Linked DNA regions of Arabidopsis thaliana. The protein of the gene in region 1 interacts with the protein of each later gene in a pairwise test. Each region holds a gene or a part of one and is shown in the gene's direction. Other genes may lie near its edges. The genes, in order: bZIP6, AT2G18090, AT3G50650 and MIF2.

Region 1 (4,717 bases):
AGATCTACTAAAAAGTTACTTTTAATTTCTTTGGAGAATGTTGTTTTTGTTGGATTTGAAAGACTTATAGACTCAACCCAGAGATTTTAGTGAATGGTGAACCAAAATCTGACCAAGAGTTTTCTTCGAGTGAGAACCATGTGTGTGTATTTATTCAGTTTAGTTTACATAGGATCTTTCAATTAGAGAAAAATTATTTATATAAAATTATTTTATCTAGGTTGGAAGACCAATTTTAAACCAAATAATAAAGTTATTAACATTTTCAGTGCCACTTTTATATTTTCTTTATTTTAGCGAAGATTTTGCGTCAATGTACGATTTTAAAATAAAGATGGACATCTCTAATTCATCAAAATGACACAAGAAAAAATATTTAGCATTAGAGCATGAAAATCAAATCAAATCATGAACTGATGATATCATTTATTTCAGTCTTTCTTATTTTTTGTTTTATTTTTGCCTATTAGCTAGCCTAATGCCAGTTTTATCTCCCTACATCCAAATTCGAGCCCACGCAAGTTTCTGAACAAGATTTACACGATTTGATATTTCAATAACAAATTGGGCTAGACAATAGTAAATCTTGATGCGTTAAAAAATACGTAGAATCACCTACTTATATTCTATAATAGCAACAATATATATATTTAATAAAAGAGAAGTTGTGATTATTAAAACTAAAAAGATAATGTGGGAAGCATTTGAATGATACATCTTTATGCGATTAAAGTTTGATTTAACATGCTACCAAACCATATAATAAAAGTTTTCTAAATATATTTCTGCTTTACTACTTTTGAAGATTTGGCATGTGGCCGTTGCTATAGTTTTTCTCTTCTTTATTATCTTCTTATTTCGAATAAACTAACTAACCGAAAATTTAGAGCACAAAAATGTATTTAAAAATCATTAATTTGTTGTTGGACGTATTATTCATTGATAAGATTATTTTTTCTTTTATTTATTTGTTAGATAAATAAGATTCTCTTTCGTTCTTAAATAGCTTTTCGTTAAACATAAATATTTTGTTTAATTCCAATTAATTTTGAAATTACTTTATCACGATTGATAAAAAACACACAAAAAATAACATATTGAGAAAATATATCAGTATTCGGTATTTATTTTTAGTTTGGTAGTTACACCAGGTACCAACTAATATATAGATTCTCTAAGTACCTTTCAAATACTAAAATCATATAAACAACTTACTCAAACATTTTGTGGAAAAGAAAAAAACATTTTTGATACGAACCAATATGAAATAAAAAGCTGGATTTAGTTAAAATCAGATAAATTTTGATTGAAATAAAAACCAAAAACGAACGTTGTGATTGAATTTTATGTTAGTTGTTTCATGTCCAACCACTAATTACACCAACTACACATATAAATCAATCGACCAACGACACCATATTCATTTTTTTGAGCCTCAAATTTATTTTATTTATTTGAACTTCTCTCTTTTTCTTTGTTCTGTTGTAAATCTAGATTTGAATACAATGGCGACAAATTAGATGAATGGACAATGCATGTGTTAAATATGGACTGTTTCTTCATCACTAAGCTATAACAAACATTTGGTTTAACAATTTTAATCACTTTTTTATTTTCAGAAAGTGACCTTAAACGAGTCCTATTGGCTATTGGTGTCCCACAAAATATTTTTCTACTTTCATATAAATCATAAAAGTTGGGTCTTGAAAAATAATACCAACCCCACATAGTGCCACATGACTCAAAAGTCGTTATACGTATAAAATACGGTCATACATAGTATTTCAAAAATTACCAAAATACCCTTACCAATTTTCCTTTAAATTCCAGTCTCCTTCAAATCAATGCTTCCCTTTTCTCCTTCTCTTCTCTCTCTTCTCTCTAATTAAACAATTTTAAACCGGTCATTATGATGTCTACTGTACCGGCCTTTACCTTTACTGAACCGGGTTTGGTTAACCAATTATCGGATTTCCAGACCGGATTCACTCCTTGGGAATTGAACTGCTCCGATCTCTTCTCTACAATCCATCTCGAACCGGTCGTACCGAGTCCTTGTTCTGGTGAATCCGATGCCGGTTCTGTCAAAATTAACACCGATTTTAACGGTTTTGACGAATCGTGTATCGGTTCCATCAAAACTAACTCCGGTTCTGATGATTCCAACCTTTTCCACGGCGTACCGAGTCCTCAATCCGACGAATTGGACTCAAAAAACACGAAAATCCGAAGTAACGCCACGAATCATAACCGGAACAAATTGAACCGGTCGGTTTTGCAGGTGACTGACGACCGTAAACGCAAACGGATGGAATCAAACCGAGAATCAGCGAAGCGGTCGAGGATGCGTAAACAAAGACACATTGATAATTTAAAAGACGAAGCAAATCGTCTCGGTTTAGAAAACCGGGAACTCGCAAACCGGCTTCGAATTGTTTTGTACAACATCGCATTAATGTGTACGGACAACAATCAGCTTTTGTCGGAACAAGAGATTCTCAGACGGAGATTCTTGGAGATGAGGCAGATTTTGATTTTCAGACAGCTTCAGCTGAATCCATCATTGATCATCAATCATCATCATATGATTTGAAAGAAAAAAAAATAGAAAAAAAAAAGTTTAGAACGGAAAAAAAAAATTAGATAAAAGCGAAGTATTTTTATTTCTGTGTCTCTTTTGATCACTCTTATGTGTAAATGAGAATATGAGTGTTACTTTAGATGATGGACTTCGTTTTTTTTTTGCTGTTGTTTCGTACTTGGGCCTCTCTAATCATATTTATCAAGGCCCATTAGTGAGTGGGCTAAAAGATATAAGCCTAATCAACTACTCTTGTTGACGACTACCACCCTATCATGTATTTAAAACCTTCTGCATCAAGTTGGAGTCGTCGGCTTTGAGGGTTGGAATGAAACCTCTACGTCAACCAGAGTCTTTCACAGACTTCCCAATTCCCATGTTCAGCTTGTTTCCTCTTTGATTCCTTCTTATTCCTCAAGTAGACAGACCGCAAGATTCTTCCTACAAGCCTTTTTTTTATCAAGTACGTAGACGGAATTAAGTATAGTTAGAAAAATATATGCAAATTTGAATAACGTATTATTTGTTTAAAATATATGCAAAACTATTAACCATTAACCATTAACCATTAACCATTTTGGGAAAAGATTGTTAATGATCTAACACTAAATTTATCATATGAAAGCAACAAGGTTATGTACTCCAAACTATATCTAATACTGTACTCTTGAGTCTTGAAGCATCTTGCATCTAGTGAAGATATTTATTCGGTAAGAATTGTCGTGTCTAGTGCAAGTGGAAGTGTCTGGATCGTCCCACACATGCCACGTGTTAGAATAAAATCTCCAAAAATTACACAAAAAAATCCAAATTAAAAACGTTATGGACCATCCATACATTGAGAGATTGGTCCTCCTCCACTCTTTATAATCAATTTCATTTTTTCTTGAAGAAAAACAAAAACAGGAATAAGTGAAAGGTAGGGTTAGAGAGAGAAGAGCAAAAAGTAGTTACAGGGACCCAAAAGTGGAGAAACAGAACCCAAAAAAAAAAAAAAAAAAACTAAAGTTGGAGACAGTTGTTTTGAAGAAGTGTTCTATGTCCAATCCACAAACAATGTTGCCTCTTGTCTGCAACTAGGAAACCTCTCGTCAAAATCTCTCAAGGATCACAAATTTTGTGACACTAACACTTGGTTTTAATTTTGTGGTTAGTGAAAAAAGTAAAAATTTGTATATTTTTCAGTTTTAGAACATTGTGTACATAGACTTCTTAAAACCAGGGATTTAGCTCAACGGCTATAAGAGGAACAATAAAATCAAGAATTTGATGATTGAGAACAAATAAGAGGAAAAACAAAGAACAAAGATTATGAAGAAAAAAACACACATCTCTCCTTTAGTTTCTTCTTGCTTTATATAGAAAGAAAACAGCAACAGAAACAACAATGCATCAAGTAAGAAAAACCAGAAACAGAGAAAAACAGAGTGTTTTTGTTTTCGCAATTGTCCTTAGTTTTTTTTTTTCAGTTTCACAGAGAAGGAGCAGTAGCAGAAGTATTCATCAGCGTGGTCGGGCCAAGCGGATCTTTTCCATCACCGTTCTTATTGTTGTTATCGCCAATGATGGTGCTGCTTGCCGAGCTGCTGTTAGAAAGAGAACCAAATGTCGACTTTTGCAAGACGCCTGTTGGAGAGGAACCAAACTTGGGACTATTGGTCGTGCTGTTTAGTACCTCGCCGAGTGGACCTCCCATGGAGTTGTTATTACCCCAGGAGATTGGTATCCAGTTATTCGTCTTTTTCCCGGGGTCAAGAAACTCGGTGTTGACGCCTAATCCCATGTGGATCGCGGGGTCAAACTCACGCGATAACCTTAAAGGTGAGAGTGCAAGTTTATCTTGAACAGGGGAAGATGGAGCCATAGGGATTGACATTGAGAGCTGAGTCCAATCCGATTTCAGCTCTTCGGGCCAAGAATCGACATTGTTGTGATTCCCCGCGTGCTTGGCTTGGTTGCCGAAGTCAAGATACGATCCAAAGCCTTTGGAAGAGGTTGCATACGAGGCTTGTTTATGCGACGGATTAAGTAACGAATCAGAAGAGATGAGTCCGAATTCAAAGGGATTATTGCTTTGTTTCGGATGAGTTTCCTTCGACTGTAAGTTCATCGTGGCAGGAAAAACCGAAGCCCCTC
Region 2 (6,276 bases), 1.9 Mb from region 1:
AACGTGACATGTTCATCTTTTTTCGTCGTCGATCGACATATCAACTATAAGATTAGTCGGTTGTACGTATAAATCTTGACCTTTTACCATGGATTTGTCCTATAAAAGCTTACTAGAGACTAGAGACCAGAACGCATTAATATTATTAGGTCTATCTTCTATCACTTCATAGTGTTTCTTTAACACTCATGTTTTGCAAGTGTCGTTTTGTACTATTGGAAAAGATTATTGTTATAAAAAAAAAAATGAAACAAAACTCTAAAAAATCAGTTAATCTTAGTTATAAAACATTATCCTGCTAGAAATCATTGCAACTTTAATAAAGTATTGAGTCTTGAATCGTTATGTCCACTTCGTTTATTTTATATAAAAGTTTGTCAACTAATTAATAGCTGATTTTTTTTTTCTTTTAAGAGAAAGAAGATCTCGAAATGAGAATTAAAGATAAGATATATGGTTAGGTAGCGAGTAGAAGACCAAAGCAAGAAACTACGACCACGACATCTTGCACATAAGAAAAAAAAAAAGTAGTTCAATTTCATTTTCGCTTTGGTCCACTTTATTATTTAACAAAAAATAATATCTAATAAATTACATTAATATAACAGTCCGTGTTAGACTAAGACACGAAGCCTCCCCCACTAAATCGACGCAAATAAAAATAAACAAATGGTGGGGTTAAGAGTTTAATTCGAGCTGTGGAATTTTTTTATAAATATACAAAAATAATAATATTTAAAATAATATATATTACGATAACAAATTTTTATGTCAATCAATTATATTTTAAGAATCTTCTAAAATCAAATATTATTGAACTAATAATTTGAATAATAATTTTAATTCCACTATTATTGAAAATATTCATATCATTAGTTTTTAAGGGTGTATAGTGAAAAAATTCCTCAATTTCAAATATGTTAATACAAATTTCCCTTTTTAAAAATTATCATGAAATTGGACAAACTATATTTATATTGAAAAAGATATATAAACTTATACAACACAAATTGTAAACAAAAATAACATGATGTTCTTCAATAAAATTATAAATCATCAAACCTAAACTCTAAAATTGTCAAAGTAAAAAACCTAAATTGACGAATTCTAATTTATTATAGCGAAATTCTCTGATGTTTGTATGATGTCGAAGTTGATTATGAGAGATTTTGTAAAATTTTGTGTTTTAATTTTAACCATAGTTTATCTAATTTTTACGACAATGTAGAAAGACAGGATTAAGATATTTGAAAAATTGAAGTTTTTTTTTATAAAATATATAATTGAATAATTTCTTATAGAATTTTAGAAAAAAATTTTAGATAAAATTAAAAAACACAAATGTAATTCTTTTATGTAGAATTTGGGGAACCAGACTACAACAAATCATAAATTTCTCTAAATTTACCTAAAATCATATTAAAAATTAATAAATCATTATGAATCTTAAATTACTTAAAATATAAATTTGAAAATACTCCTCTAACTCAGAGATCAATTTTTTCTAATGCCTCGTGATTTTTTTGCATCTTGTAGCTTAGTCACCTATATATATTTTTAGTGGTAACAAGATTCTCTGTTAAAAAAATAATAAAAATTAAAAATAATAATAGTTTATTTTATGGGAAAAGACGCGAGTGGCTCCCACCAGCCTCAACTTTGCCCACGTGGAACCAGCCATATGCGCGGCGTTTAGACAACAAAAAAAAAGCGTGTTGTTTCTTTCTCTCTCTAGAAAGTCAAAAAAAGGAGACAGACAACCAAACACTGCCTTGTCACATCTCTCTCTCTCTTGCTTTTGGCGAGTAACGAGTAAGTCCATTTTCCATGTGCCCACTGTGTCTTCTCTCCTTACACGCCACCATCTCCTCCACCTCCTCCTCCCTCCCTTCTCCAATTCCCAATTCTCCTCCAAACCCTAGGGTTAGGGTTTCCACGATTGCTTCACCTTCCCTTCTTTTTTTAAAACCTCAGATCTTCCGCTTCCTCGTTCTTGTCTTTTTGTTGAGCTGAGAAGCAAAAAAAAAGTGTTCTTTGGCTTCACGAGGAGCCAACAACGAATCGATGCCGGAAATCGATCTTATGAGAGTCGATCATTGTGTTTCCGATGTTAAATTAGATGATTCTTCTTCTTCTCCTCCGGGATTCTTCGATGGTGGTGGTGTTCCGTTAGATTCGGATGTGAAGTTAGACGAAGAAGATTCCGATTCTTTGAAGAAGAGAGGTAGACGTGGTCGTCCGCCGAGAATTTTAGCTAAAGCTTCTTCGCCTCCGATTTCGAGGAAGAGAAGAGAAGATGAAGATGTTTGCTTTGTTTGCTTCGATGGTGGTAGTCTTGTTCTCTGCGATCGTAGGTTAGTGAAGTTTTGAGCTTAGACAAGTTACTCTCCCAGCTCCATTACATTCCTACTTGTAAAAATAGAAACTTTTACTTGTGACTGATGATGATTCTTTCTTAATTTGTCAGGGGATGTCCAAAGGCTTATCACCCAGCTTGTGTTAAGCGTACTGAAGCATTCTTCAGATCGAGATCTAAATGGAATTGTGGTAAGTTGTTCAATTTTTATCTGTTTTCTCTTCTTTGAGATGGTTCATAGTGATGAGGATGGTTTTTTGGTTTCAGGTTGGCACATATGTACTACTTGTCAAAAGGATTCGTTCTACATGTGTTATACTTGTCCGTATTCAGTTTGTAAGAGGTGTGTTAGAAGCTCAGAGTATGTAGTTGTAAGGGAGAACAAAGGATTCTGTGGAATTTGTATGAAGACTATAATGCTTATTGAGAATGCAGCTGAAGCTAACAAAGAAAAGGTATGAGAATCCTGTCTACATTTTGTTACTTTCTCTTACTCGCAGTACTACAAGGTTATTTGTGGAACTTGAGGTCTGTTCTTGTAATGTCGCTTTGTTTTTTTAATGTGGATTCTTTCTTCTAGCTAAATGTATTACATGTACATTTTCTAGGTTCAGGTTGATTTTGATGATCAAGGCAGCTGGGAGTATCTTTTTAAGATTTACTGGGTTTCTCTTAAAGAAAAGCTAGGTTTATCGTTAGATGATCTTACCAAAGCAAAAAATCCATGGAAATCTTCTTCTTCTACTGCCGCTAAGCGAAGAACTACTAGTCGGGTTCATGAAAAGGATGATGGAAATTCTCCTGGGGTTATGAAAATACGTCGTGCTAAAGTAAGGAAAATGGATGCTGTTTCTGTGAGTAATTTGGGTCCTTCTTTGGATTCAAACTGTTCTTTGGGTGACAGACTTCCACAATTGACTAGTGCTGCTACTTGGGCAACCAATGAGCTTTTGGACTTTGTGGGGTATATGAAAAACGGTGATATTTCTGTCTTATCAAAGTATGATGTCCAAACTCTCGTGCTAGAGTATGTGAGACGGAATAATCTACAAAACTCTCCTCAGAATTCTGAAATAATGTGTGACTCCAAGCTTATGAGATTGTTTGGAAAGGAGCGAGTGGACAACTTGGAAATGTTAAAGCTTCTTGATTCTCACTTCATCGATCAAGTTAGGTCTCCAGTCACAGATAATTCAGCCGGAGGAGTCACTGAAACTATGTCTTACCAGGTTAATGCGGGCAGAAGCTGTGATAGGTTAAATACATCTGAACAGCATCAAGAAGGGGAATCACAGCAATTGAACGGGCACAGTATTCAAGTTAGACCTTCCAGTTCTGATAGCAGAAACCATGCAGTTGTAAAACCTGACACAAGTGCCACTCTGTCCAATAAGCCAATTGATGGTTTGGATACAAATATGGTATGGTTATATGGAGATCCAGATGGGAAGATTCATGGACCATTTTCGTTATATAACCTGCGACAATGGAATTCAAGCGGGCATTTCCCACCAGAGCTGAGAATATGGAGGTTGGGTGAACAGCAACACAGCTCCATACTTTTGACTGACGCATTAAATGGGCAGTTCCATAAAACAGGGTTATTACAGAATCATTCTATCCCCAAGCAGGAAGTGACAGCTACTATAGCTAACGATCAAAACAGGTCTGTGGCTGTTCCTAAAATAGAGAGTAGAATACTTGACTTCAGCCCCAACTCAGTGTGCACTGACCAGAGTGTTATTTCTAGCAGTAACAGTGTCATCACAAGGAGCTCGGATGTGAGTAACAAAAGCGGAAACAATTGTAGCCACGCCGTGCCATTGGATTTTTCTCTTTCTAATGAAAGGGATACTGTGGGTTTTATCTCTCTCTGGGACAAAAGAAAAGTTGAAAGTTCTTTGCTTGTACAAAGCCCAATAAGCTGTTCACTCTCGCTGGCTACATTACCTAGAAACTCAAACTGCTCTCTGCCACCACATGAAAGATGGAGTGCTGGTCAGACAGATGGAAACAGTGCAGCAACGACTGCTTGCAATCAAAACGGTAGTCTTAGCGGCTCAGCTGAGAAACAAGTCACGGCTACAGTCCAGTCATGTGGACAGAACTGGAATGCTGCAACTCCAAGCAGTGCTTCAAATGTGTGGGATTCGAACTCGGGTTTGACGTCTTTCCCAGACAATCAAGAAATAGACTTTTTAGATCTCTTTAGTCCAACTTTCAAATTCAACTTTGCATCTACTACCACTGATTGGCAACCCATTGTGGCTGGACCTGACGAATGCGACGAATCAGTCTCAGATCTTTTGGCAGAAGTGGAAGCCATGGAGTCCCAAAAACGTCTTCCTTCTCCAACTTCGACATTCCGTGGTCCTGAAGAATTATTAATCCGGCACTCAATAAACGATAGCTTCAGTCCCGCAGAAGGACATAGCCCAGCACTAGATGTAAGCAAAGGTGACTCCATGAGCTCCACAAACGATCTTCAAATGCATTCACGATCTAACAGCACCGTGCATTTTTAGTCGTGGGCTCGGGTTCACATAGAGAGAAATCATAACCTGGGGCACAGGTTACCATAGATCATCCAATGTCCTAGATTCGTCTGATCGATGGTGGACTATGCCCTCTTTCTTCTCTTTTTTTTTGCAGGATTATTACAGAACATAAATAAATGGCAGAATCATCAGCAAAAATGAAAAAAAACGAGTGGTGCATATGTAGAAGATGTTTCTTCGCGGTATTTTTGACTGCACCCATTGTTTTCTTCAGTATTTAGGTTTTGTAACGTTGTCCTGTGTTAAGATTTGCACAGACATACCCAACTTCTGTATCTTTTTTTTTTACATTGTTTGTACTTAGGAACAAGTATAAAAATGGGAAGAAATTGTTGTCCATGGATGTAATCAAAACATTTGTAGGGATCATATCATCTTATTATTCTATATATATGATAATGATAGTGTAACGTTTCATTCTTTTTGTTTTGAATGTTTCAAATCTATTTATATCATGACAAGTGTAGGCTCCAGTTTATTCTACTTGTTTTTGGAAAATGAGACGAACTCTATTGATCGTTTCTGGATTTGGAAACTTTTTGTTGTTTCTTCGATTTCGTTTTTGTTGATCTGAGTTGATGGTGGAAGCTACGTCAAATTTGACGCCGTCGCAGAGATACGCGGCAAGCGCTTTGTTTGCAATCGCGCTTAACCAAGCGCAGATCAGCCAGTCAAAGCCATTGGGAATCCCGGCCACCGGAAGTACCGGAGAGCCAATCAGCAGCGACAGTGATCCTATCTCCGATGAGGCGGATCTCTGGGTCCACGAAGTTTCCGGCCTCCTCCGTCCTGTTCTCAGGTGATCTTGAAATCATCTGGAATAGTCATGTTCATATGCGTCTCTGTGTGTGTAATGTATACATTTTGAGCTGTCTCTGTAATTTGCTTTCAGATGTCTTCAGATTGATTCATCAGCTTGGCATGGCCTTGAAGAGATAGCTGCTTCTACTCAGGCTAAGGATCACATCGGTGCGGTATGATTAATTTCTCTCCGTATTTTGAAATTTCGTTGTGAATGTTGAGGAGCTCTTCTTTATTGGATGTTACTTTTGGTTTATTGTAGTTTATCAAGTTACTCTCAGAGGATGTGAGTGATGATGATGATGATTCTAGTGAAATGGTGGAGAAAGAGACCGCCTTAGCTAAAGCTGCTGATGCTATGGATCAAAACATTCGAAGCAGCTCTCTATCTGTGGAATCTAAGATGGAGAAACATGTGGAATTCGAAAACGAATGCCGCGACAAGTATTCTGTTCCCGAGGCACAGTCTGGTGCTGAGGTTAAGGAAACGGAGAGCCACGGGGAGGGTGAAATTAGAGATGGAGGCCACAATCTTGGGATTGTTGAACATGAGAAACCTGT
Region 3 (4,803 bases), on another chromosome or scaffold:
AGGTTCAAACGAAAATAAGTGTAAAAAGCTAAGGAGGAGACAAAAATAGGTAAATTTTAGTTGGTAAGAGTTGAAACTAAAAATTAGTATTTAAAAAAAAAAGCAAAGAATGTGACAAAAATGGTAAATATATAGAGAGACTTTCTTGGGGATGACTCAATGCCACTCTTTGTTCATACATAAGAAACCCCACCGATGACTTGGATAGAAAGAAAAGACAAATCAAACCCTTTCATTCTTACTCATGTCCTTTTCATACACCACTCATTCTCTCTCTCTCTCTATCTATTTTCTCCAAGTCCACTTGCAGATAGGTGCAATGGTTAAACACTAAAGTGGGATTGCCATTTTCAAAGACAAGTCCTTTTCAAAAATATCATCTTCTTCATTCTCCTTGTTGAAATCATTACCAATTTAGAACAGTCCATGGCACTTTGTAGTAAAAAATGTCAAAAGTGAAAATCAAAAGTAGACTTGGGCCAGGGACCATATACCATGTTTAGTAATGTAATTTAGATATTTAAGTTATAAGTAGTGGAGAAGTAGGCCTTTTGACGCGGATACAACGATGAAATGAAAAGAGTGATGTCTCAAAGAGTCAAGTGTCGTTCCCATGTGCTTTTTGTTCGCTATTGCTCTTTTCTATTTCATTCGCTTTAGGTTTTTAGAAATTGCAAAGTCACAAAGAGCTTCCACACTCAAACCTCAAATAAGCAAATTCTCGAACTATGCGTCGTGTATGAATGATAATTCATAAAACTTGGTTTGTTATTGAAAGACTTTTAAATTCTATAATCCTCTTTGGACTCTTTTCTTGTTTCTTCTTTGCTTGTGTTTTTTTTTTGGTATTTTTGTGTAATTTTTAGCTTTTGGCTAATGGCTACTACATTTTCTTCGTCAAAGTTCGTCCACCAACAACAGATACTAGTAGAGCCCGCCACAAATCGCTTTTGCTCCATTGTATATGGGCCTACTTACGGACCCACAAGCCGTCCTCCACAACACTAACGTTGAGATAAAAAAGACATGCGTATACAAATAAAACATGTCTATTGTTTAATTTTTGCTTGCTCAAGTCATATTCAAGATGTTAGCTTAACTTGTCGAAAGGTTTTTTTACAAAAGTAACTGAAACTAAACCAATGAAGTCACTGAAATTTGTTAACCAAAGTCCAATTTAACGACCCTTTTAGTTGATAAGAAACAGCTTTGAAAAACCTTGACCTTTGCGGCTTGAAAGCAGAAGATAATAACCTAATTCTTTTTACTTTTCTTACATCAATCTTTTTACCTTTATAATACTGTTAGTTAAAATGAAAAAAGACAGAAAAGTTGCAGGCGACATGCAGGTGACAAGTAGCAGAAGACAGTTGTCGACGTGTCACATTCACCATTTCAGCCAAAGCCATTGATCTGATTCTAGACGGTGGAGATGAGGTCACACTCTTCGATACGTAACTGCCGATACATGACGTCATCGTGTCTGTGGGTCCCATAAGTGAGATATCGTTTTACTCTCTCTTTTTTTTCATAACGTCAACTCTTTTTTTTACCCATATTAACAGAGTGGTAATAATTATTTAACAAAAAAAAACCTATGTATTTTTTATTTTTTGGTCAAAAGGTTTCTGAATAAATTTGTAAGATTATACGAAACTACAAATTCATGAGATATAGAAATTATTCAATTGATATTTTGATAAATTACATTTCTATTATTAAATTCTTGAAAATAATTAAATACAAAACTGAGTTTTTTAGTAAACTATGTTAGTTAGTTTCTTCATTTTTTGTTGTTGTTGTTGGTTTTATAGTTTCTTCATTTCTTGCAGTTAATAACGTAATTTTGTACTTTTAAACTAAAGTGGTAATTGATTAAAAATACAGTACTCGAAAATGATAAATCGGATGACAAAAAAAAAGAAAATGATAAATCAAAATGAAAATACTCACTTTCTTACTTTTTTCTTCCTACTAAAATCTCTCCGGTTTCATTCATATCCCTCTCTCTCTCTGGGCCTTACTCAATCACCACCAAATAACAGACAAAAAAACGCCTTCATCGCCGGCGAAAGTGAGTCGGAGAATGGCGTATATGTGCACCGACAGCGGAAACTTAATGGCTATAGCACAACAACTCATCAAACAGAAGCAGCAACAACAATCACAACATCAACAACAAGAAGAACAAGAACAAGAACCCAACCCCTGGCCCAATCCATCCTTCGGGTTTACTCTTCCCGGTTCGGGTTTCTCCGACCCGTTTCAAGTAACCAACGACCCAGGTTTTCACTTTCCACACCTGGAGCATCATCAAAACGCAGCCGTCGCTTCCGAGGAGTTTGACTCCGACGAGTGGATGGAGAGTTTGATCAACGGTGGAGATGCGTCACAAACCAATCCAGACTTCCCAATCTACGGCCATGATCCATTCGTCTCATTCCCGAGTCGACTCAGTGCTCCTTCATATCTCAACCGAGTCAACAAAGATGACTCAGCGAGTCAACAACTCCCTCCGCCACCAGCTTCCACCGCTATATGGTCTCCATCTCCGCCATCACCACAACATCCTCCTCCTCCCCCGCCGCAGCCGGATTTTGATCTAAACCAGCCGATTTTTAAAGCTATCCACGATTATGCACGTAAACCGGAAACTAAACCGGACACACTAATTCGGATCAAAGAATCCGTGTCCGAATCAGGCGACCCGATACAACGAGTCGGGTATTACTTCGCAGAAGCTCTGTCTCATAAAGAAACAGAGTCTCCGTCGTCATCGTCGTCGTCATCCCTAGAAGATTTCATTCTCTCATACAAAACCTTAAACGACGCATGTCCATATTCAAAGTTCGCTCATTTAACAGCGAATCAAGCAATTCTCGAAGCTACGAATCAATCAAACAACATTCACATAGTCGATTTCGGGATTTTTCAAGGTATTCAATGGTCTGCTCTGTTACAAGCTTTAGCGACCCGTTCTTCTGGTAAACCCACCCGGATCCGGATTTCGGGTATACCCGCTCCGTCTCTAGGAGACTCACCGGGACCGTCTCTGATCGCTACGGGAAACCGTCTCCGTGATTTCGCGGCGATTTTGGATCTCAATTTCGAGTTTTATCCGGTTCTGACTCCGATTCAATTACTAAACGGGTCAAGTTTTCGGGTTGACCCGGATGAGGTTTTGGTTGTGAATTTTATGCTTGAGCTTTATAAGCTTCTAGATGAAACAGCGACGACTGTTGGTACGGCGCTCCGGTTAGCTAGATCGTTAAACCCGAGGATTGTGACGCTTGGAGAATACGAAGTCAGTTTAAACCGGGTTGAATTTGCTAACCGGGTTAAGAACTCTCTCCGGTTTTATTCCGCGGTTTTTGAATCGCTTGAACCGAATTTGGATCGAGATTCGAAAGAAAGGCTGAGAGTGGAGAGAGTGTTGTTCGGTAGGAGGATTATGGATTTGGTCCGATCAGATGATGATAATAATAAACCGGGAACCCGGTTTGGGTTAATGGAGGAGAAAGAACAATGGAGAGTGTTGATGGAGAAAGCTGGATTTGAGCCGGTTAAACCGAGTAATTACGCGGTTAGCCAAGCGAAGCTGCTACTATGGAACTACAATTATAGTACATTGTATTCACTTGTTGAATCGGAGCCAGGTTTCATCTCCTTGGCTTGGAACAATGTGCCTCTCCTCACCGTTTCCTCTTGGCGTTGACTACTTGGTCCGATAAGTTAATCTAGTATTTTGAGTTAGCTTTTAGAATTGAATTGTTTGGGGTTAGATTTGGATGTTTAATTAGTCTCTAGCCTATTCTCTTACTCTTTTTTATCTAGTGCTTGGAGTGATGATGGTTTGTCGTTTATGTTCATTTGTAATATATATTGTATGTAACATTTGACTAGATTTCTTTGGTATAAACGAAAGAAGCTAAACCAAATTCATGTGAATGAAAAAAACACTAGAATTAACCCCTGAAATTGAGGAAAGGAGGTGATGAAGTTTGATTTTGAAATGAGAGTATTATGGTCCCATAAAAGAGACTGAAATTTGAATTGCACTAAGATCTTTCACTAACACACCATTTCTTCTCCCTTTTCATCATTTTGTCTCCACTTTTTCTTGCCTAATATAGTTTTGTTTACTTCATGAAAATTATATACCAATGTTTTCTGTACCATTCACTGAATAATAAAATAGGAGCATAATTATTTGTCAGTGAAGTAAAAGCCAAAAATACGAAGGCGCACTGACAAGTATTTCAATCTTTCTGTGTCAGTCTTGTTTCTCTTTGTTCGAACTTCAAACGTGCCACTATGACGTCAACTCTCGAATTTCTTCTTCAGTGGTCTTTTGGTCCCCATTTCCTATATCTCTCAGCCACTACTCTGACTCTGTCTGTGAGTCTGATAGTAAATTTTACTTCCCTAACGAAGATAAAAGCCCACTCTGTTTATGCTTGGCCCAAAATAAACAGGCCTAATCTCTGTCCCATTCCTTTATTTATATTAGCCACAAACAAAAACAATACATAGAAGTATTTTGCAAATAACCCAACCAAGTCTTGACTCTTCACAGCTAATTGCTTACAATTTGCCAGCTTGATTTTTCATTTTTTAGAAAATCATGGTTAGGAATCCAACATCTATAAGTGTGATGATACCTGAAATAAAAATTAAAAAAAAAATGATCTAATCCACTCATTTTAAGTGCTTTTGAATTAGAAATCGAAAATGATATAGACTATAAAGTAATATATAGATCAATCCATTTATAACTAATTGATTTTGAGTTAGAAACTTCTA
Region 4 (3,592 bases), on another chromosome or scaffold:
TTTTTTGAAAACATTTGCTTCATTTAGTTACCTCGAAACTCGTGCCTGGGAGAGAAACTTTTTTTTTTTTTCAGCCGATGTTAATCTCATGAAACAACGTTTAGTGTGGAACAATGAAACTACAACAGTTTTTTTTTTTTTTTAAATATATATTATAAAGTACCAACAACGTTTGGTTATGCAATTATTGTTATATACCATCTCATGATTTATGTTTATATCTAATTTGGAAGGAGAAAATATCAATGTATTTCTTATAAAAATATCAAAGGATTGACGGAACACATGAATAAGAAAATTTGATGTCTAACCGAAAAACGAATGAATGTATGCATGTGTAATTCAAAAAAATCGATACGTAACTGCAAAGGAGCAAGCGATCGTGAAGGATTGCGTTGTCCTCATGATGTACAAAATAGGTTTGGTAGCCCAACTTATCAGTCCCACGTTGTTAGGTCCAAATGTATATACATTTATACACACTTCTATTTTTGTTCATGACTATTCATCATACAATCTTAAATATATTGATTGGTACTTAGATTACAACGAAAATTGATTTTTTTTATTTAAATCCGTACAATTCCTCGGGTATACTATAGAAGTGGGTCAAGATATCACATAGCCGACATAATCACTTTTTGGTCTATGCATATATATTCGATCTCGATACCAAGTTCGATTCTTTATGATACGTATAAATAATTTTCGTAACCACCTGTCTAATTATGAAATAAAATAGAATGAAAGAAGGAAATAAAAAGAGGATTAAAGAGGATGAATGTTAAAGGGGGCCACCACAGTACATATTAGGTCTTAAAAAGACAAGCTTAGCTGTTTCCTTCCTTTTAAAACCAATCACTTTGTTTGGTCTTAAAGAAAAGCTTTCTCATCATTTTAGGGTTTTCTCGCAAAATAAATCGAACAAAAGTTGCATCCACAAACTTCCACACATAATTTAATTTTTGTCGTAATATATTTACTGTTGCAGGTTGTAATTCTTCATCCACTTCATTTTATTCTATGGCTTATGGTTATGGTTACTAGTTAGCGCACAATATATATTTGTTGGAATGTAAGAGTACGTATTCTGCGAAAGTGGAATCTAGCAGAAGTTTGGAAGATCCAAATACAATGTATAAGGGTGATATTATCAACTAAAGACGGGTGCCTAACTCACAAAGTGGTGGCTCCATGTCTCGTGAATGTTTTGTTTTTGTATCTCTGGAGTTATGACATTTTGGTCCGTCCATTCGGATCAAAAATCAGAACGATGACAAATATAATCTCTTTCTTAACTGGAGATCAGTAGATTCCAATTTCGATTCAGCATAAACTTATTCAATTTCTTCTAACCGGATGAGACAAGTACTAGTACGCATTATTGCAATATTAAAGTGTCTTAGTATTCCAAAAACAAAAATTACGATACTTTAAACATAATCTGAATTTTGTATAACATGAGCCAAAAAGAAAACATCCACCATATTTAGGTTGGTAACAAGAAAACAAAACTTGTAATTATAATTCAATGCATAGTTGTGGTCATTTAATTACAAAAGACAGATATACATATATGATATACCCATCAAAAACAAAATTCTGGTAGATTAGCTTAGTAGGTCTGATTGGTTGTGATGATGCATCAATCTATACCATGACATGTACATCTACACACACACACATATATATATATATATATATATGCAGTTGCAAGAAAAATATCTAAGGTTTGGTTGTCGATTGCTATCAGAAATGCTATAAATATCACATCTAGGGTTAGGGTTAACAACCGAGGTCCTCTTGTAATTGTTTTGATCTTTCACTCCCTAACTATTTCGAGCCGTAGAAATTAAAGTAAAAGAACAAAAACTTTATTATACATTTTTCTCTTCCTCTTTAATATATATACATTATTACAAGTTTAGATTTCATAAAAAAAAGTCAAGAAGAAGAAAGAGCTGAGACGAGAATTGAAGTGAGAAAGCATGAGGAAGCGTCAGGTGGTGTTGAGGAGAGCCTCGCCAGAGGAACCTTCTAGAAGCTCGTCGACGGCTTCGTCTCTGACAGTGAGAACTGTGAGGTACGGAGAATGTCAGAAGAACCACGCTGCGGCGGTGGGAGGTTACGCTGTTGACGGCTGCCGTGAGTTCATGGCAAGCCGAGGAGAGGAAGGTACCGTGGCAGCGCTAACGTGCGCCGCCTGTGGCTGCCATCGCAGTTTCCATCGGAGAGAAATAGAAACCGAGGTTGTTTGCGACTGTAATTCACCTCCTTCTACTGGAAATTAGATAAGAAAAATCTAGAGCTAGCTATGAGTGTGTTTGTGTGTTACATATACAGATGATGAAACTGAAAATATTTTATTTGCTTTTTTTTCTTCTTTAATATGAAAGGCTTGTGTTTCTTTGTGAATTTAAGAAGAAACTATAAGAGATTTATAGATTGAAGGTGGTGGAAGCATTGAAAGATTTATAATAATTGGATGCTTTTGGGGTTTGAGAATGTTCAGAAAAGGTTAGGCTTCTGAAGTGAAATATTAAGATTATTGTTGTTTTTCATGTATTATATTGTTTGATTTGTATTCTGGTTGGGTCATGTTATTGTATTTTGATCTATTTTGATTATTTTGTCGAAGCTGACGAAGCATGTGTGGTGTACTCGTGTTTCAATTCAATGTCGTCCACTCAAGACAATTGTTAAGTGTATTGTGAAAGGAATTTGTTACAAAATCAATATGTGTATTTACTGATAAATGAATGAATGAGATTGATTGTTCCTTAACATATATGGAAGGTTCTTCGCTTGTGATAAGGTAGCTGAATATAGTAACCCATTTATTGATTATCTCAATAACTAATTTAATTAATTATATATATATATATATGTATATATTAGTATAAATAAATCACTAATGATTGTAGTAAATATTTTTTTTGGGAGGCGATGAAAAAAGGTTTAAATTGATCCCTTTGAGACCACTCCTATAGCTTTATTTTTAAAAAATATAAATGGTGGAGTTAAGTCTCACACTATTTTCCATGATTTATCTTAAAATATTTAGCTTTATGTGAAGTGCATAAAGCTCAGATTTATGTGAAGGGCATGTTAACTCGAGACCGATTAGATTATTTAAGCTCAGATTTCTTAATTATGCTATGATGAGAACCAATATTTTCAGGGATATATGCCTTCCCAGCTTTTAATTAAAAATAGTATATATTAAAATATTCTATAACCTTTTAGCTTTAAGAGAGATTTTTCAAATTTTATTTCAGAGGATAAAAGATAGGCAAATAAATTTGAATTTAATTGGGAGGCGGAGGCCCACAAATCTAATCCTTGTTGGTTGCTAACTTGCTATGATGGAGAAAAATTAGATTTAGAACTAATCATACACGATAATGGCTTGTGGTTTTCTGATCTTTTGTTTTTTAGAAAATTATAATAAGTCGCATTTAATCTATCTAAATCAATACTCCCAAATAAAGTACAGTAAACCAACGAATAAACTGAAGAAATGCCAAATAAAATTAACGAAAAATTTACAGTAAAAGAAAGATCGGTATTATTGTCAAATTTAGTGTGTTAA

Evidence for each region.
Region 2: the proteins of bZIP6 (region 1) and AT2G18090 interact in a two-hybrid assay, tested with the Arabidopsis thaliana proteins (one large-scale study listed by BioGRID).
Region 3: the proteins of bZIP6 (region 1) and AT3G50650 interact in a two-hybrid assay, tested with the Arabidopsis thaliana proteins (one large-scale study listed by BioGRID).
Region 4: the proteins of bZIP6 (region 1) and MIF2 interact in a two-hybrid assay, tested with the Arabidopsis thaliana proteins (one large-scale study listed by BioGRID).

What each region holds. Positions count from the first base shown.
Region 1 is NC_003071.7:9,730,477-9,735,193, reverse strand, and holds bZIP6 (basic leucine-zipper 6), read left to right. Parts: upstream 1-1,793; 5' UTR 1,794-1,909; coding exon 1,910-2,593; 3' UTR 2,594-2,618; exon of another isoform or gene 2,619-2,902; intron 2,903-3,559; 3' UTR 3,560-3,915; downstream 3,916-4,717. Other genes in the region: GRF1 (growth-regulating factor 1), read right to left, coding at 4,053-4,717.
Region 2 is NC_003071.7:7,862,437-7,868,712, forward strand, and holds AT2G18090 (PHD finger family protein / SWIB complex BAF60b domain-containing protein / GYF domain-containing protein), read left to right. Parts: upstream 1-1,757; 5' UTR 1,758-2,064; coding exon 2,065-2,354; intron 2,355-2,467; coding exon 2,468-2,547; intron 2,548-2,623; coding exon 2,624-2,811; intron 2,812-2,964; coding exon 2,965-4,881; 3' UTR 4,882-5,384; downstream 5,385-6,276. Other genes in the region: AT2G18100 (transmembrane/coiled-coil protein (DUF726)), read left to right, coding at 5,493-5,713, 5,807-5,888, 5,978-6,276.
Region 3 is NC_003074.8:18,805,384-18,810,186, reverse strand, and holds AT3G50650 (GRAS family transcription factor), read left to right. Parts: upstream 1-1,943; 5' UTR 1,944-2,086; coding exon 2,087-3,715; 3' UTR 3,716-4,048; downstream 4,049-4,803. UniProt on the Arabidopsis thaliana protein: Probable transcription factor involved in plant development. Involved in environmental abiotic stress resistance. May increase the expression of stress-responsive genes. Binds DNA in vitro.
Region 4 is NC_003074.8:10,923,026-10,926,617, forward strand, and holds MIF2 (mini zinc finger 2), read left to right. Parts: upstream 1-1,682; 5' UTR 1,683-1,988; coding exon 1,989-2,291; 3' UTR 2,292-2,788; downstream 2,789-3,592. UniProt on the Arabidopsis thaliana protein: Inhibits zinc finger homeodomain (ZHD) transcription factors by interacting with them to prevent both their nuclear localization and their DNA-binding properties.